Arabidopsis thaliana: one gene and its partners. The protein of the gene in region 3 interacts with the protein of the main gene of each other region in a biochemical or structural test. Each region holds a gene or a part of one and is shown on either strand. Other genes may lie near its edges. The genes, in order: AT2G41090, MPK4, SHP1 and CAM8.

Region 1 (6,501 bases), on a different chromosome or scaffold from region 3:
TGGAAAGAGTTGATGAACCATACCATCACCATTCTTGTCGAATAACCTGAAAGATTCCCTGTATTCTGTAATCTGATCGTCAGTGAGCTTATCCGCCATTGTTTTTTTTGTTTTCTGTGATGACTGAAAGAAGAGTTTGTGAGACAATTTGTACTACGAACCAGGACTTGAAGCCTTATATAATAGTACCCGAATTATTTGAAATGACGGCTATATCCTCAAACTTTTCCACGTTCACGCAATTTCTACGCAGGATCGTTGTCTGCCATGTCAGCTTATCCTTTCAAGTGTGAGTCGCCTCCTTTGACTGGCAATTACTTGGTTGGTTCCTTCTTCCAACTTGTTTTTTTTTTTTTTTTTCATTTATTTGAAAGAAACATTTATTTACAATGGAATTTTGGATGGGTGAGTGGACATTTGCCTAATTTATATTTTAGGTTATAGTTTTCTTATACTGACTCCGAAGGAGTGTCCTTATTTATGCAAAACTAAATAAATCATAATAGAGAAAACACTTGCATAAGATAAAAATGAATCGAAGAAATACAAGCGTATGACAATTGATTAGCACATGTTTAGTAAAGTGTTGTTGTTGAAGTTAACGAACGTTACCAATGAAATCTGATCTGAGGGATTCCACAAGTGCATTCTACTTGAGAAAGAGCAGAGAAGTTTCTACATCCTGAATATTCCTGATTTAACATCTCTGCTGTGGAAGGAATTCGCAAGACAAGTGTGTGGAAGGTTAGAAGAAACTACACAAACGACCAAAAACATGGTACATAAGAAATAACGAGAAAGACCACAGAAGTTTCTACCTTGCGGGGATGGCTTGAGCAAGTAAAGTTGACAGAAAACCACTTCCTGTGCCCGACTCAAGAATCACGGGCAGGGGCAATCTCAAGGTAGACTAGAAAGCTACTACTACCCGCCGCAATGTAAAGAATCTGAGTCTTGTGACCTGTTTCCATATGACCCAACATGCCACATGTACTGCATACAAATTTACCCTTGTTGCTTTGGATTTTGGGCCAGCGAAATTACACGGGTACAAAATAAGAAAAGCCCATATCGAAGACATGTTATCCAAGTTTTCTGATATTGAACATGCAGTAATTTTCCACACATTGTAGTCCAAATGGGTCAAAGGGCGTCCTTTGTTTTGCTCAAAACACTTGGGTTATCGAAATTGTAGACGTGTGTTTTCAATGTTGCAGGGCAGGTTGGTGCGAGGCATGTCATTATTCATTAGATGAGTCCTTATAAGAGTCTTGAAGAACTCTGGGACGGTGAGATATGAGGCTTAGCTGATTTGATCACTGTATGTGCCAAATCATTAACCGATTTAGATCAATTTTTAGTAATGCTACCAGTTTTCAATAATTAGTTCTGCTACGTTTTAAATGTTTTTCTCAAAAGATACATTGATACCCCAATTATATTCGATACTGAAACCATATTACAAACTCATTTTAATAAATTGCATGCAAGAAAAGATGGTAACACAATAAATTTATTACATAGAAATTATTTTCAAAGATCAAACGCCTTTTTAGAGAGATCTAACATACCAGCCAGACCCTAATGGCATAAAGTTACTGATGTACCATTTCAAGAAAACAACGCTTCGAACAAATTTTTGATGAAGTCGGTCATTGGCGCTGCGATGATATTTTTGGCAACCCCGGCCGCCAAGTCCCTCTCCAAAGTGCCACCAGTTGTGTCATATTTAGTATCATGACCTTGATTCCTAGCCATACACACAAGAACTCAGAATGAAATTTAAGAACAAGAGAGGAACATTCTTTATGAAATTAGATAAGAGGTAGTAAAAAAAGGGGAAGCGGAAAAGTTGTTTAAATCTCACTTGGCCATCATAAGCCTGGCAAACTCTCTGTAGTTGATCTGACCATCACCATCAACATCAGCTGCCTTGATAATCTCATCGATTTCTTCATCAGTTTGCTTCCACCGGAGGATAGTCCTCACATATCTCATTTCAGCAGCTGAGATGAAACCATTCTTGTCTATGTCAAAGAGTCTGAAATCTTTCTTGAGGTCTTTCTCAGAGTAAGTGTCCTTAGCCATTGCGCACAAGAACTCAGTGAAATTGATGGTTCCGTCACCATCTAAATCCGAATCGTTGATCTCCTCCTGAAGCTCAGCTTGGGTCAGGTTTAAACCGAGGGAACGCATCACGGCACCGAACTCCTCTGTGGTAATGTGACCTACAAGAAGTAATCAAGGACTTGTGTTAGTCATTTTCAGTGCTTTGAAGATGATTCAGGATCCAATATGTACGATTAGAGGAATAGAGACGATGAACCATACCATCACCATTCTTGTCGTATACGCTGAACTGTTCCCTAAACTCTGAAATCTGTTGTCTAGTGAACTTATTCGCCATTGTTTTTTATTTTCTGTGATGACTGAGAGAAGAGTTTGTACTACGAACTCTCGGCCTTGAAGCCTTTTTTATAAAACTGAATTCACTGCCATGTCAGCTTTTGCTTTCATGTGAGTCGCCTCCTTGGTTTGTTACTCTAATTGGTTGGTTCCTTCTTCCAAATCGTTATCATCATTAAATGCTGTCTTTTTTTTCTTTTCTTTTTTGTATTTCCATTTATTTGAAAGAAACATTTATTTACAATGGACTAGAGACTTAATAATATATGGTCTTCTACAGAAGAAAACAATTGAATAGAATTATCAACGGTGAAGTATTCATTTGGACTTTTGGATGGGTAGTGGACCAATCGCTACATTTGTCTAAATTATTTCGTTGATTTTTCTCGTTGGTTCGTTCCTTCTTCCAAATTCATTAATATTATTTTCGTTCATTAAATGCTGTCTTTTTCTTCTTCTTCTTTTTTTTTTTTTTTTTTTTTTTGTATTTCCATTTATTGACAATGGACTAGAGACTTAATAATATATGGTCTTCTACAGAAGAAAACAATGGAATAGAATTATCAACGGTGGAAGATTCATTTGGAATTTTGGATGAGTAACTGGACCAATCGCTACATTTGTCTAAATTATATTTTACTTTTATGTTATAGTTTTCTTATACTAACTTTTAATAAATAGTTTATAAAAACACTCATGAGTTCTGGGAAGTGCTTCAACGTCCGTATTTATGCAAAACTTAACAAATCATAATAAAGCAAACACTTGCATAAGATAAAAATGAATCGAAGATGCTTATGACGATTGATTATCACATGTTTACTAAAGTGGTGTTGTTGAAGTTAACGAACTTTACCTATGAAAAATCTGATCTGAGGGATTCGCAAGTGCATTCTACTTGAGAACCCACTCCATCCTCTGATCTAACATCTCTGCTTTGGAAAGAATCGCAAGCCAAGGGTGTGGAAGGTTAGAAACTACACAAACGACCAAAAACATGGTACATACGAAATAACGCGAACCATAGTTTCTACCTTGCGGAGATGGCTTGAGTAAGTAAAGTTGACAGCAAACCACTTCATGTTCCTGACTCAAGAATAACACAGGCAGGAGCAATCTCAAGGTAGACTACAAAGCTACTACCCGCAGTGTAATTTTACCCTTGCTGCTGAATGCTTTCGTCCCAGATGGCTTCCCGATCCAATCTGAGTGCTTAAGACTCCAGAAAGACTCTGAAGCAGAGAGTCATAGCATACTTTAACTGCCCAGCTACCAATAATCGCCGCAAGAACACTTTCCGTTAATGAAATGATGGAATCTACTACCATCTCTTAACGTGATCTCTCGGTTCTTGATCACCGATATATATTTGAAAGCAACATGGCAATCACTGCAAACCCGCAAGTTCTTGATTATTCTAATCGGTGCACCTTCAGGTAATATCATGAGCGCAAATGCAACCGCTAGTTTCTCGCTGTGCTGCACCAAGTCTGATTCTTTCTCCTCCTCATCCATATCATGCAATACTGACGCTGTATCAGGCTTGTATCCCTTCAGCTTCATCTCCAGAGTCAGTTCTTTCAGGTATGAATAGATCTCTTTAGATTTAGACTGAGAGCGATCTCCCATCTTAAACTGATGAACTTCACCTTTGTGTTCAAACCAGCTGATTCCCGCTTCTTTCTTCACATTCTTATCTCTCATCGATTTTCTCACCTCTGATACATCGCGCCATCTCTTAGCTGAGGCGTGAACATTTGCAAGCAGGACGTAACAAGCAGAGTCATTAGGGTCAATCTGAAGAATCTCTTTAAAGACTCTCTGTGCCATTTCTGCGTTTTTGTGTATGTTACACGCAGATAACAATGTTTTCCATATAACAATGTCTGTTTTTATTGGCATAGACCTTATTATTGCCTCGGCTTGATCCAAACAGCCTGCTCGACCGAGCAAATCCACCACACAAGTGTAGTGCTTTAAACCTGGCTTGAACCCGTATTTTTCCACCATCATGTCAAACAACTCAAGCCCTTTGTCTTTTAAGCCAGAATGACTACACGCATAAAGTAAATTCAGAAACGCGACCTCGTTTATCTCCATGTTCGTCTGCTCTGCCATAGTATTAAACAGCTCGATTGCCTCATCGCCTTGTCCATGAAACCCATAAGCAGAAATCATTGAGCTCCACATCACTTCATCTTCATCTTCACGTTCCGAGAAAGCTTTAGCTGCATCTCCAAGACACCCACATTTTGAATACATACTGATCAATGAACTAACTACAGCTACGACAGAGCTAGCCCCAATTTTAATAGCTTCCGCATGAATCTGCTGACCTTGACCTCTTATCGCTAAGTCAGAACAAGAACTGAGCACAGTTACAAATGTGATCTTGTTCGGCCTACAACCTGAGATTTTCATCATCTTATACAGATAAAGCACGGTTTCAGGACATCCGTTTTGCGCGTTCCCCATGATGAGTGTATTCCATGCAACCAAATTACGAACCGGCATTGATCTTATAACAATCTCGCCATCTTGCAATTTCCCATTTCTCATATACATATGAGCCAACGAACTATTAACAACTAAATCCAACTCAAGCCCATATTTGATCGTGTAGCCATGAATCTGCTGCCCTATAGACACTGACCTCAACCCAGCAGATCCGCTAAAAACACTACCAAGAGTATATTCATCAGGCGAAAACCCCAATCCGTGCATTTCCCTAAACAAACTCAAACCCTCTTCGTTAAACTCAAACTGGATCAAACCAGCAATCATAGCATTCCAAGTTGTGAGCTTTCTATCAGGCATTTCATCAAACACCTTCCGGGCATTTACCAAATCGCCTGCACGAACATACCCATTGATGAGTATGTTAGATGACATATAATTCTTCTTACGCATACGTCCATATACTGCAACAGCGGAAGGAAAATCTCCAAGCTTGGAGTACATGCTCATCAGATGATTGCATATGAACTTGTCGGAGGAGAATCCGGAGACGACGAGAAGACAATGGAGCTGCTTTCCGGACGGAAGAGATTGTCTGGTGGTGCATGATTGAATAAAAGGGGTGAAGAGAGAAGTGTTTGTGAAGATGTTGAGTCGGAATCTCTGGAAAGCTTCTCGAAGGTTACCCTTTGAGCACAAAGTAGCTATGGCTGTCGCAGGATCTACTGATAGTGGACGAACAACAGAGGAAACTGAGCAACGCATTTACTATTGAATTGCCGGAGATTGTTTCCGATTTGGATTCTCAGGGACTGTCGTTGCTCGAAGAAGAAGAAGGAACGAATAATTAGACACTCGATTTAATTGGGCCGTAATCAGAAGCCCAATAAGTATTAGTAACCAAGTATCAAAAACGGTTTAGCATAACCATCAATCTATTGCTTAATTGTGTAAGGTACTAAAACTATTGTCGAATTCATACTTGAACTAGTGTTTGTACTCAAAAAGTTTGAACTAGCTGCAAAAGAGGAATACACTCAAGAAATGTTTATAAAGACATGCTGTTCAAAGTCAATAAAGTCTACACAATATACAAAGAACAAAGCGGTCTGATATAAACCAACACAAAGAAGAAGAAAGAAAGAAGAGTCTTTAGGATCAGAGAGAAGCAGAGTTTGTTCGCCGGAGCTTCCACTTAGGATCTGGTGGTGGTTCACTTGGTAGGATCTTCTCCACCTCCTGCCATTATAATCAGATTAAAGAAAACCACTAAATCTAAAACGACACTAGATCATGAAGCAAGCTGCAGAGATGGGATTTTTACCTTTAGCCTCCGAAGTTTTTCGTTTTCTTCTTCTAACCTTGAAACCTTGATCTCTAATTCATGTGTATAAGCCTGCAAGTTTCAATGTGATGACTAGACCAACTAACAACAAACAAACAAATATTAACTAAGTAAAAACACAATGTCAAGTTCTTAACCTGTTTCCTAGCTCGTGAACGTGCTGCAGATTCTCTGTTCTTGATCATCCTCTTCTGTCTCCTCTCAACAGTCTTCTCCACAATCTCTCCAGCTACTCTTTTCCTCCCAGGCGCTTGTGGTGTATCCGATAATCCACCCATCATCACCATATCTTG
Region 2 (8,458 bases), on a different chromosome or scaffold from region 3:
CTTTTTCAGAAATATCTCAAAATATATTACCAAAATTGAATAAATTTATATATATACAATTTCGAAATCAATAGCCTGATTTTTATGGAAACTAAATTCATTTAGTAGTAGTTAATTTACTAAATTACCCATGTAAAATTTCATTTAGTTAATTTTAAACTACCCTTATAATGTTGTAGTTCACAAAATACTTCCCAATTAATAGTATAAATACTTGTTTTCAATTTTATACTAAAGAAGAAAATTTATAAATAATATCAAATTACATCTTAAATATATTCAATGATATAAATTAGTTATATTTGTTTATATAATCTATCATATGCTGCCTCTCAGATTCATCGAAGGCTTTCCAAAGATTTCATCTACTTTAGCGCTAAGAAATATATCAAACTCACTTGTCGCTTTGACCCAATAAAAGCCCAACGCGGCCCAGTAATATAAGCTTGAAAAGCAACGTGAGAATGACAAATATACCCTCAAAATAAAGAATTGTTTTAAAGACGAAACCAGAAGTTTATAGCCCTTGGATTGATAAATATCCGGCGGCTATATTTACCACTTTTTCTTATAGAGCGTTATGCTGACAAATGTCAACGATTGAGTGGAAAAATCTACTATAACTGAGACATCAGAACCGTAAACGTGTGTATTTGTCTCTATTCTTCGTCACTGCCGCGTAGGTGAAACGGAAAAATCCTTTACAACTACCAAAACCAACGCGGGACTTAAAGTAGCGATTGCGTTGATCTGCAGCACACGGCACGTTTCTTTGATTCCTCCCTATAAGAACGCGTTTCAAGTTTTATTATCATACACTAAACCCATCTCCTATTTATACTTTCTTTTGGGTTTTTTTCTCTCCTTCATTGAAGTAGCGTAACATTGAAGTAAGCGGTAACATTTCGGAAGAATCTCTTTCTTTAGGTGAGTTTTCGTTAATCTTCGGCGAGTTTGGTTAAAGTAATGGTTTTTGTTCTGTCTTTGCATTCTTGAGATCTATTGATTCGGATTTTGGATTCAGAACAATGTTATTGGTTTGCTCATTGTTTCAGATTACTAACTTTGTTTCTTCTTTCTGTGTGTTTTCAGTTGATATGAGCCAACAACGTACACGCTCTCGGAACCCGTTCAAGATTCTGTTTACGAAGAAGAACAATGCTCGATTATCGCCAAAGCTTCTCTCACTGTTGAACAATTTCGAGACTAACTTGACGGTATCGATTAGAGAACTTGTACCAAAGGATAAGAATGATATCGTTAGTGTTTCTTGGATGATACAAGCCATGCAGTCTCTTTGTGAGACACACAAGAGTATCAGGACGCTCGTGAAGGATTTAGAGGTTCCAGTATCGGATTTGGAGGAGAATTTCATTTATATCTTCTCTGACTTTAGCTTGAAGCGGGAACTCTGCAACGCCTTTACCTCAGAGATATATCATTTGGAACATGGCAATCTATTACTAAAGTTTGCTTTTAGTAAGCTGGAGACAAACAGTGGCAATATTCTTCAGCGTTGGAATCAGCACATGGTTTCCAAGAACCCGAGTATCGAAAACTGGGGCGCGGTTTTGAGTAGGCTGGTTGAATCGATGGATCATCATCATCATATCTCCAAGAAGGGGAAGAAGAAATACTCTGCGGAAGGAAAAGTTCTCTTACGAGTTTTATACGGTGTAAAGGTCAAGACTTTATACATATTCAGCGTGTTTGATGCATCGTTCTCGGGTTCTTCCAAGAATCTCTTCTATCTAACCATTCCAAAGGAGATGGAGGAGCTTCCATGGGTTCAAGCTTTCATGGAACTGCAGAACACTATTAACCCGGAGATCAAAAACACATTTTTATCAGACGGATTCACGGTTATAAAAGATCTCGAGGCTGTTGAAACCGGTGTGAAGAAGCTTTACACAGCGGTACAAGAAGGGTCGGTTCCTATTTTGTTAGTGGAACCATTGGAGAAGTCAGTGATAGAACTTTCGGAAAGGTTTGAGCTAGTCTCCAAGGAAACACGTTGCTTGTCGAAGATGGTGATCTCTGCCCGAGACGCATTGTTGGAGAGCCTGTGGACGAAATGCGCAGAAGAGCTAGGAGTGACATTGCCAACGATGGTTAAAAGTGTTAATATAGAGGAAAAGAGCTAAGACTTGTTTGTGAATATAGAGGAAACATGTAATTATGGTATCGTTGATGTTAAGTAATAACAAATGCAGATAAAAATGAGACTTTAAAACGCTTCAAATATTGATAACTCTCTCTTTTCAATCGGTGCTAAGCTATAACTACATTTTCAAGTTAGTCAGAATTGTGCTTTAGTTCATCTTAGTTGATAATGGATAAGTGATGGGTTTGCTTGAGGCCCATTGTAAATCACTAGACCAAAAAAAATCAGTGTTATTTTCATGGTTACATGATCAATCAATCAAAGCAAACCAGATATTCTAGCTATTAATAATAACAAATGCACCAAACTTCAACATGGTTATATAAGTTGTTTAACCATGATTTTTTAAAAAAAATCAAAATGATGTCATTTTATCTTATACATAAACCTTTTTTCACTAATGGTTTTGGAATCAAAGGTCAGTTTTATGGTCAAAAACAATTTGGCCGCCCATTGACTTGTACACCACCAATATACCAAGTCGTACTTAAATTCTTATTGGAGAAAAGTTGTCATCTAGATTCTTTTAAACTTTATAATATGATATCAAGAACATTCCTACATGAAGTCATTAACTTGTTCCATTCTACAAACTTCATCAATTACATTTTTTCGGCAAAAGTCATAACCATATCTAATCTCTACTTCGTGGGATAACGCGATTTAGTAGAAGCAAACTCCAGTAAACAAAACTTAACCAATTGACTAAAAACACTTACCCGTTCCTCAATTACTTAGAGACACAATCATCGGATATACCCAACTCGATACCATAAACAAAATTGAAAATTGACATTACAAAGAAAAAGAACAAAAACCAAAGAAGAAGACGCAAACCCGGTTTAAGGGTCACGGGTGACTCGAGAGGAGACTTCCTCTTTACCGTTCAATAAAAAAAAAAGGGTAAAGGTAGAGACTTTATAACGAAATGTCAACACCCATCTTCTCGATTCCTCAATTTCTCTAGGGTTCTTCGTTTTCGTTGTTGTGAGGAATTTTGCTCCGATGTCGGCGGAGAGTTGTTTCGGAAGCTCGGGTGATCAAAGCAGCAGCAAAGGAGTGGCTACTCATGGTGGTAGCTATGTTCAGTATAATGTCTATGGCAATCTCTTCGAAGTTTCTAGAAAGTATGTTCCTCCTCTTCGTCCTATCGGTAGAGGCGCTTATGGAATTGTCTGGTGAGTTCCAAAATTAATCAGATTGGGTTTTTGAAACATGTAATGTTCACTTCTGGGGTTCTTAGATTTGGGAATTAGGGTTTTGGAATCTGTTGTTATTATAATAACTTGTGTTGATAATTGTTGATCAGTGCTGCTACAAACTCAGAGACTGGAGAGGAGGTAGCTATCAAGAAGATTGGTAATGCTTTTGACAATATTATCGATGCTAAAAGGACTTTGAGAGAGATTAAGCTTCTCAAGCATATGGATCATGAAAATGTACGTGTTACTAATCATCAGCATCTCTGGTTTTTTTTGTGTGAATCTTATATTGGTTTATTGTGCAGGTGATTGCTGTAAAGGATATAATAAAACCACCGCAGAGAGAGAACTTCAATGATGTTTACATTGTTTATGAGCTTATGGACACTGATCTCCACCAAATTATTCGCTCTAACCAACCCTTAACTGATGATCATTGTCGGGTATGCATCAATCTCCATCTTGCTTATATCTAGCAGCTGAATCTTCTGTTTCTACTTTAGAAGCAGCTGTTATTGTGTTAGAGCATCTGATGAGTATTGCTTGATACTTTATAAGTGAGAGCTAATAAGGATTTCGTTTGTTATGCTTTGAAGTTGTGTTTAGTAATTAGTTTCGATTATGTTTTGCAGTTTTTTCTGTATCAGTTGTTGCGTGGGCTCAAATATGTTCATTCAGCTAATGTATTGCATCGAGATTTGAAACCTAGCAATTTGCTCCTGAATGCAAATTGTGATCTAAAGCTTGGGGATTTCGGGCTTGCGAGGACCAAATCCGAGACTGACTTTATGACTGAATATGTTGTTACACGTTGGTATCGAGCTCCAGAGCTGCTACTTAATTGCTCTGAATACACAGCAGCAATTGATATTTGGTCTGTCGGTTGTATACTCGGTGAAACAATGACACGAGAGCCCTTGTTTCCCGGTAAAGATTATGTTCATCAGCTTAGACTCATCACTGAGGTAATCTAGTTTAGTATGTTTCATCCAAAGAATCACCACTTAGTCTCTCTTCACGGTATTAATGAATCTTTGGAAAGCAGCTTATAGGATCTCCTGATGACTCAAGCTTGGGATTCTTAAGAAGTGACAATGCAAGAAGATACGTTAGACAGCTTCCACAGTACCCTAGACAGAACTTTGCTGCTAGATTCCCAAACATGTCGGCTGGTGCAGTCGATTTGCTGGAGAAAATGCTTGTTTTTGATCCAAGCAGACGCATCACAGGTGAGTTATATTTTATATAACTGCTTCTCTGTTTCTTCGGCTATTTTCTGAACATGTTTTTTGTGTGTGTAGTTGATGAGGCGTTGTGCCACCCATATTTGGCGCCGCTGCATGATATCAACGAAGAACCGGTATGTGTGAGGCCGTTCAATTTTGATTTCGAGCAACCTACTTTGACAGAAGAGAACATTAAGGAGCTTATATACCGTGAAACAGTCAAGTTCAATCCTCAAGACTCAGTGTGAGAGAAAGAGAGAGAGATATATATCCTTAAAAGGAAACTCATCAAAATGCTATGTTTTGTTTTGCTCTGCTTTTGTTATCAAATCTCTGATAAGTTTGATAATATGTCTGTAATTTGAATAACATCCTAAAAAATTGGAAAAAAAGAAAAGAACAACCTTTGAGCTGTGTTTTGCAATAGAGTGTATTTAAATTTCCTTACTTTTTAGTCGAAAGAAAATACAGAGAAGTCTTAACTCTAATTACATCCACTAATTATCTTAATGATGGGGTTGAGGTCCGAAGGTGCGTAACCATCTGTTGAAGCGGTCCATAAGTGACAACTCTATCTTCTTCGTCGGAACATTGGGGACAGGTACGGCTTTGGTGAGTGGTCCGACCACGACTCGTAGCTTAAGCCCAGCGTAACAGTGACCTGGAGTCTTAGAGCTAATGAAATAATGGACTCCTGGTTCTGTGAGCGTGACGAGATCGTGGCCTGTCATGTGCACGGCTACGGGAGAAATCGGGTAGCAGGATATGAATTCAAGGTCCCCGCTGATCTCTAAGACGTCGTTGACTTCGTTGTCGTATTCGAAAAGAAGACTGTCTCCGATCGGAAACTGCGTCTTCTCACTCCATCTGTAATAAAAGTAACTTTCTTGCGGAACACTCCATCCCTTGGAGCCACACCAACTCTGTAGATATTTCAAGGAGGAAGGATCTTGCTCGGTGGTGTTGGAGGAATGGGACGTGACGAGTCATGAACGACAAGAATGTCGAGCTTCTGTCCCGATGCGCATTGAGCATGGTTTGAGCTGATGAACTAGTGAAAACCTGGTTCCGTGAGGGTTACGATATCGTGTCCAGGGTTGTAGACGGCTTTAGGAGAAGAAGAGTCGCAGAACTCGTATTCCAAAGCGCCGGAGACTTGAGTGACGTCGTTGAGGTTGTGATTGTGTTCGAAGATCAAAGAATCCCCAACGTGGAACACAAGTTTCTTTTGGCAAACAAATTATGTCTTTTCTTTTGGCGTTTTTCTCATATATATAGGTAGTAAAAGCAATGGAATGCTCACGATTCCTTGAAAAAAAAACAAGATCTTATTTGCAAAACAAAACTAACAAGAAACAATAACGATTGAGAACCAAGTCTCTATAGTTGATAAACTGGGCTTATGAAATCTTGTAGATTGTCTTGTTATGCCCATAAACTGAAAATACACGCCAAGCACATCATCTTCATCTCCAGCAACACGTACGTCGACACACATCACAAGTCATTACGGCATCAGTAGCTTAGTTACATAATAGTACTATATATATTCTCCAGCATTTTATTCATACGTTATAAATATTTCTTGCTGATTATATAGCTAACAGTAATTAGAGACGGAAATGACATCAAAGTCAACTCCCACATAAAGCTTATCCTTCACCAAATAAGGGTCATCAAGTTCCCCTAGAGGCATGAAATCCGCAAAGCCATGGCGGTCATCAGGTTCTGCACCAAGCCAACCCGAAACTATACGTACCAGGAGAAAAAGATTAGTACTGTATTTAACCATCATGCATCACAAGACTTTCCAAAACATAATAAACACATACTTGTTTTCTCAACATGATTCCTGCTAACTTGATCCAATACACGCAGCTTGAACCTCGCGTAAGTTTTAGTCTTTGGTGCATTATTGACAAACCCTAGTGCCGATAGATACACAGAAAATGATTTGTCTTTTTCACCCATAGACCCTCTTGGATGAACTTTAATTCTCCTGATCAAATATATTGTGATGCATTTTTATTAGTATTATATATAAGTTGTGTTATGTTTTTGGGAAAAAGGAGGAATATAATATCAACCATTTCCGGGTTCCAACGACAAATTCATTAGACTGATGAACGTTTCCAGGGTTGAAGGACGAGAACATGGTCATCATCCAAGTGACTCTGTGATTAAGAGGCTTCTCTATTAAGCTAAAACTTTCCGCTGTTCCGGGTTTAGCAGGTTCAATCCCATGGAACTTGACACCAAACATACAACAATCTCCAATAAGGAAACCATTTTTCTTAAGATCAACAAGAGATATGAACTCACGAAACCCCTCACTACCCAGTTCTTCATTGGTTTCGTATTCATCTCTTCCTGCACATCAACATATATGGACGCCGTATCAAACCTATATACACACAGATGTATGCGTGATTGAATGAAGCAAGAGAGAGAGAGAGAGAGAGTGAGAGAGACCGTGAGTGTGCCATTTTGGCTCAAGTTGACTGACGGCAAGAAGCTCATATGTAAGCGTATCATATACCGGAGCTTGATTCATTAAGTAGAGGGAGACATAATGTGTCCCCTTAGCATTTGTATGGCCATTTGGGTGCACAGAGAGTTTCCTGTTACCAATCAAGTCGTTAAGAGGATGATCACCATCTTTGTTTTCTTTTGTATGTCAATAAGCATAATAACAAGATTATAAACAACTTCACCATTTGTGACCAGCGAGATCGAAAACAGAGGACTCGACCTTTTCGATTCCATGCTTTCTGAGTAAAGAGAAATGGTCTATCTTGAACATGTGAGCTGTTGCGTGACGTACTTTGAACAGTCTCACCATTTCTGTCAAGAATGAGAAAATTATTAAAACTTGGAACTCATAATGATACTAAGAGATCATCAGACACAACATAAGTTATGTTTTCACCTTCAAGCGAGATTGGTCGCGACATTGTAAGAAGCTGCAAATGATTTAGTACTGTGTCTTGTTAGGTGTAAAGAGACTTGTACATATATATCTTGAAGATGCAAGTCTATTTATACAAGGACAAGAGTTGTCTTTATTTATTTATCGGGATCCCATGTTTTGCTCATCTCTCTGTTTTGCCCCCAACATTTATCGAATCGAACAAAACATCTTTTTTTTTTTTTTGGTAATTGAACAAAGCATCAATATTGATACGCATTTATTTATACGTCACATTTGAGCATATGTTCGTAAAAATCGACCTAAATTCTCAACTCAAAGAAATACTTTAACATTTATTATTATTATTCTTTTCAAATTACTACTCCCTCTGTTTCTATATAAATGTAGTTTAACGGTTTTTTTTTTTTTCAATTTAAGTGTTGTTTTCAACTTTCTATGCAAATAATAAATGTATTTAATATTTTTTAACCAATTATATTTAATCATCTATTTTTTTATTGGTTGAATTGGTTATAATAAATGAAGTTTTTATATAAAAGAGGTATATTAAATGAGATTTTTATGATTTCTTAATTTGTGTGTAACCTTAAACTACAACTAATATGAAACAGAGGGAGTATATTACTAGATTTGAACCCGCAGTACACTGCGGGAACAATTTATTTATTAAAGTTACTATACATAAAAGTTTGCAAATTGAATCTATACATAAAATATTTTTATTTTATAGTTTACAATTGTTATTAAGTATCGTCATGCCAAACCTGTTCCGCCAATCCGTCCCGTAAAAAAACTATTTATTTTATTAATGTTGATCTTATTTATGATACGTTTATGAATTATTGTCTAAATATTTTGTAATTTTGTAGTAATTAAATGTTATCAAATATCTTTGCGTTTTGATGATTATAATCGAGTTGTTATAGTCATGGAG
Region 3 (8,757 bases):
CTTCCATGGGTCTGGTTTAGGGCCACCAAACAGTTTCACACTCAGCCAGCAACAACTACCTTTTCCATATGATTATAACAATGTTGATATTGGTCTCCTACCTGATGCTAGAAAACGATCTTTCGGATTGCCTTTATCGAGTACAAATTCTGCTAGACGGTCACAGACTCCTTGGGCTCAAAGTTCATCTGAGAACTCTTGTTCTGAATTGTCTTTCGTCAACCCCAGCGAGCAACTAACGTCCTTCTATGGGTCAAGGTTATCTTCGTCCATAAACGTTGGAACTACAAATAAGCGGGTAGCACCCGTAGAGGAGTATCCAATGAAGAACCATAAAGTCCCCAAGTTGCTGCCAATGCAAGGTGGCTTAAATTATGTTAAAGAATTTCTTTGCAGGCCAGCAAATTAGGAAATCACTAATCTAGGAGTCTAAGGGTATATAGCCTTGTATTGTTTGAACCATCCCTTGTGTGTTTTATGAATTATTTGGTGTTAGTGCCTTACTCGGAATGAATTGTTGTACATGATTGCCTTGTTTAAGTCGTACAACACCAAAAGCTTCTAGATCCGTATAAGCATGCGAGTCCCCTCTAGAAATTCTGCGTTTGTTCTGTATACTACTATGATTCTATCTGGAATATCTGGATCATCTAGCTAGCAATTAAAGAACATAAATCGGCATCAAGATAAATTTGTTCTTAGTGTCATGTATCAATTTGGAATCCATAAACATTCTTATATGCACGTTATTCAAGATCACCAGGAAGAATCTTGAGTGAGATAGTAAAATAAAGAATATACTCCAACAGACCCAAAACAAAAAAGGATCAAACTGATGCAAAGAAGATCTGATTCTCATTTGGTCTTTTGTTTTTGGGTTTTATCCTCATTTGGTCTTTCTTCACAAATCCTTACTTATGTGTCTCATTTTTTTCATTTCTGTGTTTTTATCTAAAACACTTTTAAAGAAGTTTTTGAAAGAAGTACTTATATGTGACTTTTTTATTAAAAAAAATAAGGTTTCTCAATTTTTCCCTATCAAAAGAATTGGAATCTCTAGATTTTAGATAAAACTTATTATGCATATATAAAAAAAAATTAAAAAAACAACGCATTTAGACTTTGCAGTAGTCGAGATGCATACAAAATTAACCAGAAGTTGTATTCAGCAGTGGTCAATTTTTTTATAAAAAAAGAAATTGCCAATGATTAAACTGAGAGCTTGTTACCCGTTAGAGTACTTCTAAATGGCTTTAAACTTGCATCTAACAGAAATTAAACTAGAGATATTATTAGCTGGTGAAAATAACCATAATTTTTTCCCGCAAAGATGAAACAAAACATAAGTCCTTCCAAATGTTTGAAATGACTTGGCACAATTTAAGATAAGTTTTGACTTTTGACTAAATGATTAATAGTAAATGCAATTACTAATTACAACGAAAGACAGGGAGGTATGGAACAAAGAGAGTTTCCATTTGTAAACGAATAGTTAATGTGAACTGTGACAAGGGTTGTGGATGATTATGACTATTCGTATGATTAGTCACCATTCCTTAATTTCTTGTTCCCTCAATTAAGTTGTCTTCTCATCATTTTTTTTTAAAATATTCATCCTGAATATAACCAACAAACAAAAGGTTCGAGTATCTATAAATTCCGCAATGCAATCTAAATTGGACTACTAGTGAGATCTGCAACAGTGAAAAGAGAAAACAAAATGGACTTGAAGAGGTTTTGACAATGCCAGAGATAATGCTTATTCCCTAATATGTTGCCAGCCAAGTGTCAAATTGGCTTTTTAAATATGGATTTCTGTATCAGTGGTCATATTTGTGGATCCAACGTATTCATCATCAAGTTCTCAAGTTTGCTTTCAGTGCAATTCTAATTCACACGTTTAACTTTAACATGCATGTCATTATTATTACTTCTTCACTAAGACACAATACGGCAAACCTTTCAGATTATATTATCTCCATAAATGAAATAATTAACCTCATAATCAAGATTCAATGTTTCTAAATATATATGGACAAAATTTACACGGAAGATTAGATACGTATATTAGTAGATTTAGTCTTTCGTTTGTGCGATAAGATTAACCACCTCATAGATAGTAATATCATTGTCAAATTCCTCTCGGTTTAGTCGCTAAATTGTATCTTTTTTAAGCCTAAAAGTAGTGTATTCGCATATGACTTCTCGTCCTAACTTTTTTTTTAATTAACAAAAAAATCGAAAAGAAAATAATCTGTTAAATATTTTTTAAGTACTCCATTAAGTTTAGTTTCTATTTAAAAAATGCTTGAAATTTGACAGTTATGTTCAACAATTTTGAATCATGAGCGATGTCTAGATACTCAGAATTTAATCAAGATGTCTTATCAAATTTGTTGTCACTCGAGGACCCACGCAAAAGAAAAGACTAATATGATTTTTATTTGGTCTGGATATTTTTGTAGAGGATGAAACTAAGAGAGTGAAAGATTCGAAATCCACAATGTTCAAGAGAGCTCAAAGCACAAAGAAAAATGAAGATGAAGGACTAAAGAACAATAAGCAACTACTTATACCCTATTTCCCATAAAGGATTCAGGTACTAGGAGAAGTTGAGGCAAGTTTCACATGCAAGTCCCTGTCATCATATATCCATATTATACCACACCTACGTCTCTATGTGTATTTCTTGGCATCGACTTTCTCATGAATGATTCAAATTTTCATTTATTTTTACAATTTAATTCACCTAAGATTATTATGCATTTCTCATCATTGGTACATTTTCTGTATAGCGTATTTACATATATGAAATAAATTAAATATGTCCTCACGTTGCAAGTAGTTAATGAATGTCCCCACGCAAAAAAAAAATCCCTCCAAATATGTCCACCTTTTCTTTTTAATTCCAAAATTACCATAAACTTTTGGTTTACAAAAGATTTCTAGAAATTGAGGAAGATATCCTAAATGATTCATGAATCCTTCAATAATCTGAAGTTTGCGATATTTTCCGATTTTCTTCAAGAGTTGCGATATTTGTAATTTGGTGACCTTAAAACTTTTTTTGATAAAGAGTAAAACGTTTTTTCTTAAAAGTAAAACTTGATTTTATGTTTTAGGGTTCTAGCTCAACTTTGTATTATATTTCTTGCAAAAAGAGTTCGTTAACTGCATTCTTCAACACTATAAAGTGATTATCAAAAACATCTTCATGAACATTAAGAAAAACAATATTTGGTTTCGGTTAGAGCTTGGTTTTGCTTGGCTTGATTCACATACCCATTCTAGACTTTGGCATAAATTTGATACGATAGAGAGCATCTAATGGTAATGCAGAAGGGTAAAAAAGGAAGAGAGAAAAGGTGAGAAAGATTACCAAAAATAAGGAGTTTCCAAAAGATGGTTCTGATGAGAAACAGAGCCCATCCCTCTCCTTTTCCCCTTCCCATGAAAGAAATCGGATGGTCCTCCTTCAATGTCCTCCACCTACTCTTCTCTTCTTTCTTTTTTTCTTTCTTATTATTAACCATTTAATTAATTTCCCCTTCAATTTCAGTTTCTAGTTCTGTAAAAAGAAAATACACATCTCACTTATAGATATCCATATCTATTTATATGCATGTATAGAGAATAAAAAAGTGTGAGTTTCTAGGTATGTTGAGTATGTGCTGTTTGGACAATTGTTAGATGATCTGTCCATTTTTTTCTTTTTTCTTCTGTGTATAAATATATTTGAGCACAAAGAAAAACTAATAACCTTCTGTTTTCAGCAAGTAGGGTCTTATAACCTTCAAAGAAATATTCCTTCAATTGAAAACCCATAAACCAAAATAGATATTACAAAAGGAAAGAGAGATATTTTCAAGAACAACATAATTAGAAAAGCAGAAGCAGCAGTTAAGTGGTACTGAGATAAATGATATAGTTTCTCTTCAAGAACAGTTTCTCATTACCCACCTTCTCCTTTTTGCTGATCTATCGTAATCTTGAGAACTCAGGTAAGGTTGTGAATATTATGCACCATTCATTAACCCTAAAAATAAGAGATTTAAAATAAATGTTTCTTCTTTCTCTGATTCTTGTGTAACCAATTCATGGGTTTGATATGTTTCTTGGTTATTGCTTATCAACAAAGAGATTTGATCATTATAAAGTAGATTAATAACTCTTAAACACACAAAGTTTCTTTATTTTTTAGTTACATCCCTAATTCTAGACCAGAACATGGATTTGATCTATTTCTTGGTTATGTATTCTTGATCAGGAAAAGGGATTTGATCATCAAGATTAGCCTTCTCTCTCTCTCTCTAGATATCTTTCTTGAATTTAGAAATCTTTATTTAATTATTTGGTGATGTCATATATAGGATCAATGGAGGAAGGTGGGAGTAGTCACGACGCAGAGAGTAGCAAGAAACTAGGGAGAGGGAAAATAGAGATAAAGAGGATAGAGAACACAACAAATCGTCAAGTTACTTTCTGCAAACGACGCAATGGTCTTCTCAAGAAAGCTTATGAACTCTCTGTCTTGTGTGATGCCGAAGTTGCCCTCGTCATCTTCTCCACTCGTGGCCGTCTCTATGAGTACGCCAACAACAGGTACGCTTCTCCTACTCTATTTCTTGATCTTGTTTTCTTAATTTTAACTAAACAAGATCCTAGTTCAAATGATAACAAAGTGGGGATTGAGAGCCAAGATTAGGGTTTGGTTAATTTAGAAAACCAGATTTCACTTGTTGATACATTTAATATCTCTCTAGCTAGATTTAGTACTCTCTCCTCTATATATGTGTGGGTGTGTGTGTAAGTGTGTATATGTATGCAAATGCAAGAAGAAGAAGAAAAAGTTATCTTGTCTTCTCAAATTCTGATCAGCTTTGACCTTAGTTTCACTCTTTTTTCTGCAAATCATTTGAACCTGATGCATGTCAGTTTCTACAATACACTTTTAATTTTGACGGCCCATCAAATTTCCTAGGGTTTACTTCAGTGAAAAAAATTGGGTTCTTGACACGATTTAGCATATATATATAAAAATAGGGGATGATCAAGACTTATGTAACCTCTGTCTGGTGAAACTAGGGACAAAGTCTACTGATGAGTTGTCACTAGGGATCCATTTGATCATTTAATCCCAACAAAAATGAAACAAAATTTTGAGAATTTATATGCTGAAGTTTTTCAACCCTCTTTTTTAAATAACTTTATATTATGTAGATTTGTATTTAGGGTAATTTGTCCAACTAGAAGTCCTAAAAATCAATAAACACACGGATGACTTTGTCTAACATTGTTATCAGTCATCAAATGTAAAATTGTACAAATAATGAAATTAAAGATTTAGTCTCTTTTATTTTTTTTGTTTAGGGTGTATATATATATATATATGTATATTTGTTGCATTGATATATCAATGAGAGGGAGAGAACTCAGAGAAGTGTCGGAAATTAAAATGGTACGAGCCAATTGGAATCTCTGGCATTCTGAGCTTCATTTATTTGTTATTAGAAAAAAAAAAAAAAAAAAGTCCTTTAAAGATACCTTCATGATGACATTGAATCATGTAATATACACGATACATGGTCTAATTCCTCCTCAAACCCTAATTACCAATTTCGAAACCATAATATTTACTAGTATGTTTATATATCCTTACTTTAAGACATTGTTTGTTTATAATACCTTGTGAATTAAGAAAAAAAAAAAAACTTGTGGATCTATTCAAGCCATGTGTTAGAATAAATTTATAAATTTTCTCCTCGTACTGGTCAGATATTGGTCCAAACTCCAAAGCCTTCCCTTTTCAGGAAAAAAAACATTTCGAAATTAACTCTAATTAATCAAGAATTTCCTACAATGTATACATCTAATGTTTTTTCCGCGATCTTACTTATTAGTGTGAGGGGTACAATTGAAAGGTACAAGAAAGCTTGTTCCGATGCCGTCAACCCTCCTTCCGTCACCGAAGCTAATACTCAGGTACCAATTTATATTGTTTGATTCTCTTTGTTTTATCTTCTTCTTTTCATTATATATATGATCAACAAAAAATATAACCTACAAAAAGAGAGAGTTCTTGGAAATGCATTGAAACGGTTTCGTTATGGTGTTTGAATACATGGATTTTTGAAGTACTATCAGCAAGAAGCCTCTAAGCTTCGGAGGCAGATTCGAGATATTCAGAATTCAAATAGGTAATTCATTAACTTTTCATGAACTCTTCGATTTGGTATTAGGTCACTTAATTTGGTGTCGGTCCAAAAGTCCGCTTGTAGTTTTCTTTAGAAGTTGTTTTGTTTAATGTTCATGTTTACAAATTGAAGGCATATTGTTGGGGAATCACTTGGTTCCTTGAACTTCAAGGAACTCAAAAACCTAGAAGGACGTCTTGAAAAAGGAATCAGCCGTGTCCGCTCCAAAAAGGTAAAATCTACGTTGCTCTCTCTCTGTGTCTCTGTCTCTCTCTCTATATATAGTCCCTTAGTTTATATAGTTCATCACCCTTTTGTGAGAATTTTGCAGAATGAGCTGTTAGTGGCAGAGATAGAGTATATGCAGAAGAGGGTAAGAACGTTTCTCCCATTCCAAGTAATTAGATCTTTCTTCGTCTTTGTGAGGGTTTGAGTTTTCCCATAAATCATGTGTAGGAAATGGAGTTGCAACACAATAACATGTACCTGCGAGCAAAGGTTAGCCACGTTCTGTTCCAAATCTTAATCTCAATATCTACTCTTTTCTTCATTGTATAACTAAGATAACGTGAATAACAAGAAAACTTTTGTTTTTGGGTTTAATAGATAGCCGAAGGCGCCAGATTGAATCCGGACCAGCAGGAATCGAGTGTGATACAAGGGACGACAGTTTACGAATCCGGTGTATCTTCTCATGACCAGTCGCAGCATTATAATCGGAACTATATTCCGGTGAACCTTCTTGAACCGAATCAGCAATTCTCCGGCCAAGACCAACCTCCTCTTCAACTTGTGTAACTCAAAACATGATAACTTGTTTCTTCTCCTCATAACGATTAAGAGAGAGACGAGAGAGTTCATTTTATATTTATAACGCGACTGTGTATTCATAGTTTAGGTTCTAATAATGATAATAACAAAACTGTTGTTTCTTTGCTTAATTACATCAACATTTAAATCCAAAGTTCTAAAACACGTCGAGATCCAAAGTTTGTCATACAAGATTAGACGCATACACGATCAGTTAATAGATTTTAAGTGCCTTTTAATATTTACATATAGTTGCAGCTTCGATTAGATCATGTCCACCAAACACTCACAATTAGAGACAAGCAAAACTATAAACATTGATCATAAAATCATTACAACATGTCCATAAATTAATTATGGATTACAAAAATAAAAACTTACAAAAGATCTATAATGTGATAAATTAATGTGTAGCTATAATTAAACAAAATTACATTTTTTACTATAGTTACTACTTGAGATAATGATCTCAAAAAGAAGCTTCATACGCTTAAAGTCTAATTTGATACTGTCCTTTATCTAAATTACTGTTTAGTATATGGACATGAGAGAAATATGAGCAGAGGCTGAAGGCTTAAACCTTCTTCCCTCTGTTCTCTCACACAGCCGCAAGTATTGGCTTCATCACTCAGTTTTCTCTTTTCTTTATATTTGTTTTCTAATCTGTTTTTTAGTCTCAGTTCATGATTTTGCATTTTCTAACGAAGATGTCGGAGGAATTTACGTATCTATACCAAAGAGATCGTACCTCAGGGTTACTGATCTCTAGCCACGGTTTTGCTGGACCGCTGAAATGTAAAACCGAAGCAGATTTCAGAATCTCTTGAGGGGATTTTACGGATCGAGAACCTAGTCCAGCGACGTGCCATGATGGTTCAAGAGACTGTGTAAGTCCTTTGAAAGCAAGTAATGTCGGTGGTAAAGCCCCTGGTTGCCATAATTGTAGTCCTGACCTAACACTCTGCATTAAAATTAAACATCAGAATTTGTGTAACTAGTTAGAGTACGGAATACATAACGCAAAAACTGAGATCGTTCTATATTTACACTCACGAGTCTTAGCCATGTAGAGTAAGCTTCAGTAATATTGGTTTGTCTCCAGGCTTTGAGATCAAAGACATTCATACCAGAAAGCCAAGCACAGTCTTCTTGAACTAAGTTTGATGAGATCAAAGGATGTGAGAAGTTGAAATAGTCTTTGTATTTTCTTCCGGGGCAACAGTTGTCTCCGCACCACGAATCAACGACAGCACCAACAACTTTACCGTTGAGATCCGTTTCCCATAAAGACGAAAGATCGCTCTGTACTACTACATCATCATCCAACAACACTATCTTGTTGAGATCTGGAAAAAGCTGCGCGGTCCAACAAAAAGAAGATTCGAAATGATAAATGGAATGGTTTTTAAGCTCAGAGAAGAGTTGAGAGGAGAGAAACTTTACCTTGGGAATGTAAATGCGAAGATGGTTCAAAAGGGCAAGGCAGCTAGGATTTAGAGCTTGCAAGGACTGCTCATGAGTACCCTCAACAAAACTAAAATCAGAGTCTTTCAAATTTTGATAATGTCGTCTCCAAATTAAGCGGTGAATGTCCAGCATCTCTCTAACTTTGAAGTTCACTTCTTGAGGCCAATCATACTGATGAAGTCCCTTTACTTCAACAACTGGTGATGAAGCAGAGTTGATAGCAAACCAAGCATGCATAGGGGTATAGGTTTTCTTATCGGTAACAATATGAAAGACAAACTTCTCG
Region 4 (7,592 bases), on a different chromosome or scaffold from region 3:
ATTATTCTGAGAAATTGGGAGGAAATAAGTGAAAGTGTGGATTGGGTTTTCTCTTTTCTGTATACTTAAATTGGGATTTTCTGTTTGAGGGGTTTTTGATAAAGTGTGGAAATTTTTTTACTACCTGTAATTTTATTATTATTTTCTTACTAAATATTATATGGGCATGGCTTTCTCACAGTCTCACTTTTCTTTTTTTTTACATAAATCATTTTCAATTATTCTTTAAAGTGTCTAGACTAGTGGTTTAGCCATTAGATATTTTCGTTTGAGTGAAGGAGTTCAACTCCTCACTTTCATGAGGAAAATAATATCCAAATACTTTAGCATTCACATAAACTCAATATGCTGCTTTGTTTTAAGATTTTTTGCATTTTCCACAAAAAAAATTGTGTTTCGTATTCATTCGCTAAATATAATTCCAAAATCATATTGAAACACCTATAATCAAAGATTGCAAGAAGAAGAAAAATATCATATCGAAAAAGCTATAATATAGAAACAAACTATGTATAAACAGAATTCCAAAATCATATAGAGAAAGCTATAATATAGAGATTATATTGGATTTGACAGCTTCACAAGTGATAAAACAAAACTGGATCTGAAAATTTCAATGAATGTGGAATAATGGAGAATTTGTTGAGATGGTGTGAACACGAAGTAGTAACAACTAACAAGGTAATTAAGGATCATTGGCTTATATAATAAATAGATTTAGAAAAAGTAATCAGTCAATGTTGATCATCATCTTGACAAATTCATCATAATTGACTTGGCCATCACCATCCAAATCTGCCTCCTTTATCATTTGTTCAACTTCTTCATCTGTTAGCTTTTCTCCTAGATTTATCATTACATGACTCAACTGCAATAACAAAGCTTTTCAAATTAATAAATAATTAACGTAATTGTTAGTCTAATTATTGTAAATTAAGTTGTGCATGTTAATCAGACGGGTCTGACCCTGTACAGAGAATAATAATTGTTTATTATCCATTTGAATATGCAATACAATATAGTAGGTCAAACGGCCTAACTTGAACAATTTCTAATTTCGGTACGAAAAATATGAATAAACCAAATTCATACAATTGTTTAGTTTTTTTTTTTTTAAGTTGTAAGCAAAATACAGCTGGTTTTAGCCTAAGTTTTGACCAATCGATATAGAAAACCCCAAATTAATAAATTGAATTGTGTTGCATGCAAAAAGGTGTCTGCATTAATGTAACTTTTGAGGATGTAAAGAAAGGTATATATATTTAATTAAACTAGGTGAAACATGTGCCCTCCTGTCAAATAAACCAATAAAATCAAACGCATTTTACTCTATCTAACTACTTTGTATTAAAATTTCTTTTGTTCCTCTTCGTTATTCTCTAAAGATTCACAATGCCAGCTAGCTCTAAGCCCTCACGATGGAAAACAGACTTTCGAAAATATAAAATCAAATAAATAAATGGCCATGTCTTGTTAAAAAATGTTTTAGAACATAAATGAGACAACTATGGATCTCTTTAAATTGGAAGATCGTCTGGCTTTGTTGTCTGATATTTGTCATTGATTCTACATATGTGAAAGTGTGTTTTAGCTGGATTTCTCGTTTTTTCTAGTTAATGCAGAATTAATTGGTCCAAGTGGTTACATAAAAATACTATGCTCATAATTATTGTGCTTAGCCTGTATTTGACGACACTTTAGAGATATAGAGCATGTACCACTTAAGCAAAGAAGACATTTATGAAATTGGTTCATGTACCTAAACTAAATTTGACAATAACCAAAATTTAGATAAGGATTTCTAGTAGATACAAAAATCTAAATAATTATAGCTCTAATCATTTATAACCAAATAAAAACACAGTTAGACCGTACATGGTATTATTGGAGAACGTTGTACAAAACGCAATCCAGTGCATCGAACTAATTTGTTTTTATAAGTTCTTAAAGAGGATTTTCCGCATAAGTTCCCTTTTAAGTTCTCAATAAGTCAAGCATATATCTAACTAAATATACACATTGACACATATATCAAATTAGTAATAAAGAGAGAAAAAAAAGAGAGTAAGAGTCACGGACCTCACTGGCAGAGATGTATCCATTTTGGTCTTTGTCAAAGACTTTGAATGCTTCTTTCAGCTCTTCCTCCGCATCACTTTCCTAAACCATCACATGATCATGACAACAACTTAACATACAAAAAAACTATTGTCATAAAAGTCTTTGTTTACATTATACACATTTACGTGTCTAGTTCTTCACAAATCAGATTTATTCGTAGTGAAAAACCGAAAGCAAAACAGATTTTGCTGTAATACAAAAGCTGAATATTTCCAATATATTTCTTAAGAGTTTTTAATAAACTAGAAGCATAATGAATGAGACAGCTCCATTTTGACTAGAACCTGTTAGGATCCCATATCAAAGAGTTACAATAAGGGACCTATAACATAATATATAAGAAATCATATAGACAAAAAAATTTCACTTGATGTAACTTTTTGGTTTGTACGTGGCTACGTTAACTTGATGTAATTAGTTGTGAAATAAATAAGCATGAGAGATCAAGAGAGAGTGGAACCTGAAGTTTTTTGGCCATGAGGTTGAGAAACTCAGCAAATTCAATGGTGCCGTTGCTATCAGAATCAATCTCAGTGATGATATCATGAAGTTCTTGTTCTGTCGGATTCTGATCCAACGAACGGATCACTGTTGCAAGTTCTTCCACCGTTATACAACCTATTAAAGGATTCCAAACAACCATAAATAAATGTCACACAACATAATATTAGTCGTCGTCTTTATTATCTTTATTCTATATATGACCATCTAGAGAAAGGAAGAGAACCGTCGCCGTCTTTGTCGAAGAGACAAAAGGCTTCTTTGAACTCAGTGATCTGATCTTTTGTCAGTGCTGTTTCTTCCATTGTTTTCTGAGAATATTTTGAAGACAAAGAGAGAGAGAGAGAGAGAGGAGGGAGCTCAAGGTTTGAAGTGCTTAAATCTCTGATTTATGGTCTATATGTAGAGTTGTGACAAGACCTTTTCTACATTGGACTTATGTACTTTTCAACTACTTTAAGCTCTTTAATTGATTCTCAAATTATTTTAAATTGAAAGGGCAGTACTGTTTTTTTTTTGGGTCTAGAACTCTTGGATTGAACAATTTAATTCTAGTCACATGGCTGAATCCCATATAATAAATTAATAATTGTCGCTGTTTGTTAAAGTTCAAATCACTTGTGCAAAATTAGTTTTGAAAAAATCATCTTATTCTAACAAGTAGAGACTACTACAAATAGACATAGAACGACAAGTCCTAAAACAAACAAGTATAAGCCTACAATAGTCTTTGATAAAACGTCCCTAACTTTTTCTGTCTAGTTCAAACCCATTAGCCACTCATTTTGTACGCAACAATTATGTTCTTTTGTTTTTTGTTTTTTTCTGTTTTTTCTTAAATAAAAATAAAAATATTTTATTGAAATGATAAAAATATAAATTTACAATCAAAAGATTTTAAGCCTATACAAATGATCCTATAACAAGAAAAATAAAACATAGAAGCATACATCGTGATTCACAAGTTTTGGTCAATCAACTCAACCAAAGCGTTGAAGCCGAACGAGTTAGATAAAAATATGACTATTTTGAAATTTTATCTTATAATTAAGTTTTTTGTTTTTTGTTTTTTTAAGAAGAAGGGTAACTACTGCTTGAAAAAAGCATAATGCTAAACTATTTGCATTAAAAACTTTGAATTGGAGGTCTAAGGATGAGCCGTCAACGGTAGAAACTCAAAGTTCTCTGGCATAAACTCCTCTCGCGTCATGTGACAGTGACTCGTTGTTCAAGTCCATAAGCTTTCCAATAATATGGAACCTCAAGAACCAAATTATGCGAACGATGCAAGCTCCATCTACCAATTTCTTTCCCCAAAGTCGGATAGAGCAGAGCATGATTTATGCGATTCATAACCACATCGAACACCATCGATCTTACTAACTCTTCTAGAACACAAAACAAACGCAACAAGAGGTGATAACTCATTGCAGCACTAACTTCAATTATGAAGAACCGCACTAGCAAGACACATTCAAAACCAGGTAGCACAAATAACTAGTCAAGAAATACAAGTGATGTCAACAAAAGAGACCGCAATTTAGCCACCACCGCAGCTACCAAATACACAATCTGAGAACCGAGACGATGCGATAAACTTGACGCTTTAAACATGTTCTTTTGTTTTTTCTGACTTCAAAATCAGTGATCACACTCTTTTAATACTCAGAAAGAACAACATTGAAATTTGTCTACGTACATCTCAACATAATGACCTCATTGGCCATCTTACCCGCTCCTGTCCATAGAAGACATATTAACGTACAACTCGACTGTCCATAGCTGTGAATGCATTAAGGCTATGAAGCTTAACTTGGCCAGCATGATTTTGTAGAATCCGTGCGTTCCCACACAATGATTTAAAAGTTTATCCACACAAATCATTCTATTTTCAAATTTGTTCCGATCGACGACATTTTCTAGAATTCACGGAGGTAGGAATTTTGAGAATATTACAGATTCATTTGAATCACATATTCACACCACTTATTTATTTTCCTATACATTTTGTTTGAATAATTGCGACTGTTTTTATATAACAGATGAAAATATATATTCCACGTCACATATCATAATTGAGAAGAATATCTACTGCTAAAAGATTGTAATCATTAAGAAGAATATCTACTGCTAAGAAATAATTTAGGAGATACTTGCTGACTTGCATTGAATCTGCAATTGGTATTCGAACAGTAGGGGAAATGCATGTATCATACGTTGCATTATAAGTTCATAAGCACGATATAAGAAAATAATTATAAATAAACGATTAGACGTAGCAAATTAACGAACCAGCAATTTCTTTTTGAAACGATTCAACTTTTCATATTTTGAGTTTCTAGAAACGAATTGTAAAAACAAAAAAAAAAACAAAATTATGGGGCTTTTCTTCATTAGTAATCTTTGCATTTTTACTCTTCCTAGGTGGGAAAATAATTCAGGTTAAAATATAGATAAAATATATTTGCAACCTTAAATAGCTCACTTTAGTAATACTTTTTTGACCCCTTTAATTAAAAGAATTAACATAGGGAAATTAACGAATATTTGTTTTATGTCATTGCAATTACAACAAAATATTTAGACAACGAAGTACGTTGTCCTTTCGGCTAATGGAGTAAAGAGGAAAATGAAACTGATGGGCCTCAGCACAAACCAAGCCCAAGAAACAAAAGTGGAAGCAACGGTCATCTGGTTCAAGCAAACAGAGCTTAGAAGTTTCCTCAAGTAATGACAAAAGTGGAGCTGGCAATAAGGAGATAACGACTTCTTGTATGGGAAAGCAGTTCAACATTAAGCTCGAGAATCGTTTCTCAACCCTTGATTTAGAAAACTCAACCTGATGTATGACATCTGTCAAATCTCTCTAAGGTTTAGCCAAGTCTCCACCTTTGTATTTAAACATCCTGAAACTCAAGTTGTAAGCTTTAAGCATTCTATCAATGGAAACCTAAAAGGATTGATTTTGTCTTCAATGTGAAGCGTCAACTTAGATATTCTGACTAAGAAAAACGACACGACATGATATTAGAACTGATAGATATTTGTGAAATATGATGCATGGTTTTTCTCTTTCTTTTTTTAAAGAATAGAATGCATAGTTTGAAAATGAGCTTTAGCTTATTCACATAACAAATAACATGAGACTATGAGAGAAGAAATTTTATATTTGCCACTAAAATTATAGGTTAAAATTCAGATTATACTCTTGAGTTTTTTTAATCCCAAAAAACCTCTCGTATTTGTAACCACTGTATAGAATTTTCAGTAACTAATAAAAAATGTAGGTTAAACCAGCGGTTATATATGATTTTGTATTTGAGAGATTATGTTTTGGGGAAAGCTTCGATAAAAATCTATATATCTGCTTAATTGCGTAAAGCATTTGCTAGATTATGCGTCTAAGAACAAGCCTATTAATCTGCTGATTTTCTCAACCAAGACATTTTCATTCTTGGGTCTTGGACTATGGTTTGCTAAACAAATATGTGAAAAAAACGATACTTTGCTACTTACTGGCAAAATGAAAATCAAAACTTTTTTACGTCTTTGGAAATAGTTAACTCTTGATGATTCTTTCTTGCACTATTTTATTTAAATGCTTGAGAGAAGAAAATTTCAGTGAGAAGCTCACATTTGCATTATTGAGATTGGGTATTGAAATACTTTGGATTTTCCTTGCATACATTCTGTAACGCTGCTTTATCCATTTGGGGAAATCAATCTAAGAAATATTTATTGTTAACTCTCCTTGTTTGGGTATTATTATTCTATCGTCACACAGTAACTCTGATCTCTTCTCCACCCAATGGCGGAGACATAAATATTTTTTAGGAGGGTCAAACTTATCGTTAAATTTTTCTAAACATTCTAGGTATTTCTAAACTATTAGTTATTTTTCATTCCCACCAAAAATAATAATAATTGTTTTCATAGAAGCAAAAATAATATCATCATTCTTGTAAAGTTCATAAATTATTGTTGTTTCTGGATATAATAAAAATACTTAAACTTTTTTTTGTGAAAATACATGAGTAGGTCACATGTTATTCTTTGTTTTCTATTTAAATTTAATCTAAAATACTGGTAAAAGAATGATATACATTTTTGTTACTATAAAACATTTCGTTACCCACACATATAGATTAGTTTTTGTGTATCTAAATTCATGTTTTTTATTAGTAATATGAATTTATAATTATATTTAGTTAATTTTATAATACAAGAATTAACTTTTTCCTGAAGAAACACGAAGGTTATGCACAACATGCTTAATAGTTTAACACAAATAGAAAATTAATTAATCAATGACCAAAATATTATTAAGATAAAACAACAACCAACATCATATACATGTCACAGTACGGCTGAACCATGCTTGTATTAATAAAGTAATTCCAAAGACTATATTTCTTATTACATTATTAGAACCTGGCTTGTAAATTCCTGACCGCATTAACATCCATTTGGAATGCTCTTGCAAGAACATTCGGGTCTACATCTGGTTTAGACCCAAATATTGTGTTAGCAATTGTGATAACACCTGCGTTTTGGCTGCTCAAAGCAGCGATTGCAACTGCTGGAGTTCCTCCTAGGTTGAACTGGAAATGGATGAGTCCTTCTGGAAACACAAATACGTCACCCACGTTGAGTGTTTTGGCGAAAAGACGGTTTCCGTCTTGGTTTGATGAGATAAACCCTACAAGTAGAGTTCCTTGTTGAACAACCAAGATCTCGGTGGCACGTGGGTGGGTGTGAGGTGGGTTCTGACCGTTGGGTGCATAGTCTATACGAACAAGTGAGATACCAAGAGTGTTTAGTCCTCCAAGGTTGTTAACATTGACGGTTGTCACGTTGGACCCAACCGCGTTATTTGTATTTCCAGGTCTGTTGAGGCTCGAGAAAAAGAAATCATCCGCGAAAACTATCCTTGGATCCTTGCAAAACTTTCCATTCACAAACACTAGACA

What was found.
Region 1: the proteins of SHP1 (region 3) and AT2G41090 form a complex in vitro, tested with the Arabidopsis thaliana proteins (one large-scale study listed by BioGRID).
Region 2: of the proteins of SHP1 (region 3) and MPK4, one has a biochemical effect on the other in vitro, tested with the Arabidopsis thaliana proteins (one large-scale study listed by BioGRID).
Region 4: the proteins of SHP1 (region 3) and CAM8 form a complex in vitro, tested with the Arabidopsis thaliana proteins (one large-scale study listed by BioGRID).

Annotation. Positions count from the first base shown.
Region 1 is NC_003071.7:17,131,729-17,138,229, reverse strand, and holds AT2G41090 (Calcium-binding EF-hand family protein), read right to left. Parts: upstream 2,884-6,501; 5' UTR 2,408-2,883; coding exon 2,332-2,407; intron 2,229-2,331; coding exon 1,868-2,228; intron 1,751-1,867; coding exon 1,612-1,750; 3' UTR 1,231-1,611; downstream 1-1,230. Other genes in the region: TCH3 (Calcium-binding EF hand family protein), read right to left, coding at 24-99; AT2G41082 (uncharacterized protein), read right to left, coding at 3,301-3,405; AT2G41080 (pentatricopeptide (PPR) repeat protein), read right to left, coding at 3,676-5,628; EEL (Basic-leucine zipper (bZIP) transcription factor family protein), read right to left, coding at 6,022-6,102, 6,188-6,259, 6,346-6,501.
Region 2 is NC_003075.7:564,050-572,507, forward strand, and holds MPK4 (MAP kinase 4), read left to right. Parts: upstream 1-2,867; 5' UTR 2,868-3,169; coding exon 3,170-3,342; intron 3,343-3,473; coding exon 3,474-3,603; intron 3,604-3,671; coding exon 3,672-3,809; intron 3,810-3,998; coding exon 3,999-4,331; intron 4,332-4,411; coding exon 4,412-4,595; intron 4,596-4,667; coding exon 4,668-4,840; 3' UTR 4,841-5,098; coding exon of another isoform or gene 5,099-5,515; 3' UTR 5,516-5,673; coding exon of another isoform or gene 5,674-5,817; 3' UTR 5,818-5,955; coding exon of another isoform or gene 5,956-6,027; 3' UTR 6,028-6,192; downstream 6,193-8,458. Other genes in the region: BPS3 (BPS1-like protein), read left to right, coding at 1,098-2,144; AT4G01380 (plastocyanin-like domain-containing protein), read right to left, coding at 5,099-5,515, 5,674-5,817, 5,956-6,027; AT4G01390 (TRAF-like family protein), read right to left, coding at 6,193-6,341, 6,425-6,591, 6,680-6,962, 7,065-7,213, 7,307-7,436, 7,522-7,546. UniProt on the Arabidopsis thaliana protein: The ANPs-MKK6-MPK4 module is involved in the regulation of plant cytokinesis during meiosis and mitosis. Essential to promote the progression of cytokinesis and for cellularization (formation of the cell plate) during male-specific meiosis.
Region 3 is NC_003074.8:21,734,775-21,743,531, forward strand, and holds SHP1 (K-box region and MADS-box transcription factor family protein), read left to right. Parts: upstream 1-3,385; 5' UTR 3,386-4,001; intron 4,002-4,108; exon of another isoform or gene 4,109-4,357; coding exon of another isoform or gene 4,358-4,375; coding exon 4,376-4,602; exon of another isoform or gene 4,603-5,142; intron 5,143-5,491; coding exon of another isoform or gene 5,492-5,529; intron 5,530-5,698; coding exon of another isoform or gene 5,699-5,735; intron 5,736-5,900; coding exon 5,901-5,982; intron 5,983-6,135; coding exon 6,136-6,197; intron 6,198-6,326; coding exon 6,327-6,567; intron 6,568-6,650; coding exon 6,651-6,692; intron 6,693-6,800; coding exon 6,801-6,992; downstream 6,993-8,757. Other genes in the region: AT3G58770 (uncharacterized protein), read left to right, coding at 1-409; GAUT15 (galacturonosyltransferase 15), read right to left, coding at 7,681-7,965, 8,058-8,360, 8,448-8,757. UniProt on the Arabidopsis thaliana protein: Probable transcription factor. Interacts genetically with TT16/AGL32 in a partially antagonistic manner during flower development. Is essential for the coordination of cell divisions in ovule, seed coat development and endosperm formation.
Region 4 is NC_003075.7:8,393,135-8,400,726, reverse strand, and holds CAM8 (calmodulin 8), read right to left. Parts: upstream 3,016-7,592; 5' UTR 2,928-3,015; coding exon 2,849-2,927; exon of another isoform or gene 2,765-2,848; coding exon of another isoform or gene 2,740-2,764; coding exon 2,582-2,739; intron 2,161-2,581; coding exon 2,080-2,160; coding exon of another isoform or gene 2,032-2,079; exon of another isoform or gene 2,022-2,031; intron 869-2,021; coding exon 731-868; 3' UTR 501-730; downstream 1-500. Other genes in the region: GLP9 (germin-like protein 9), read right to left, coding at 7,047-7,585.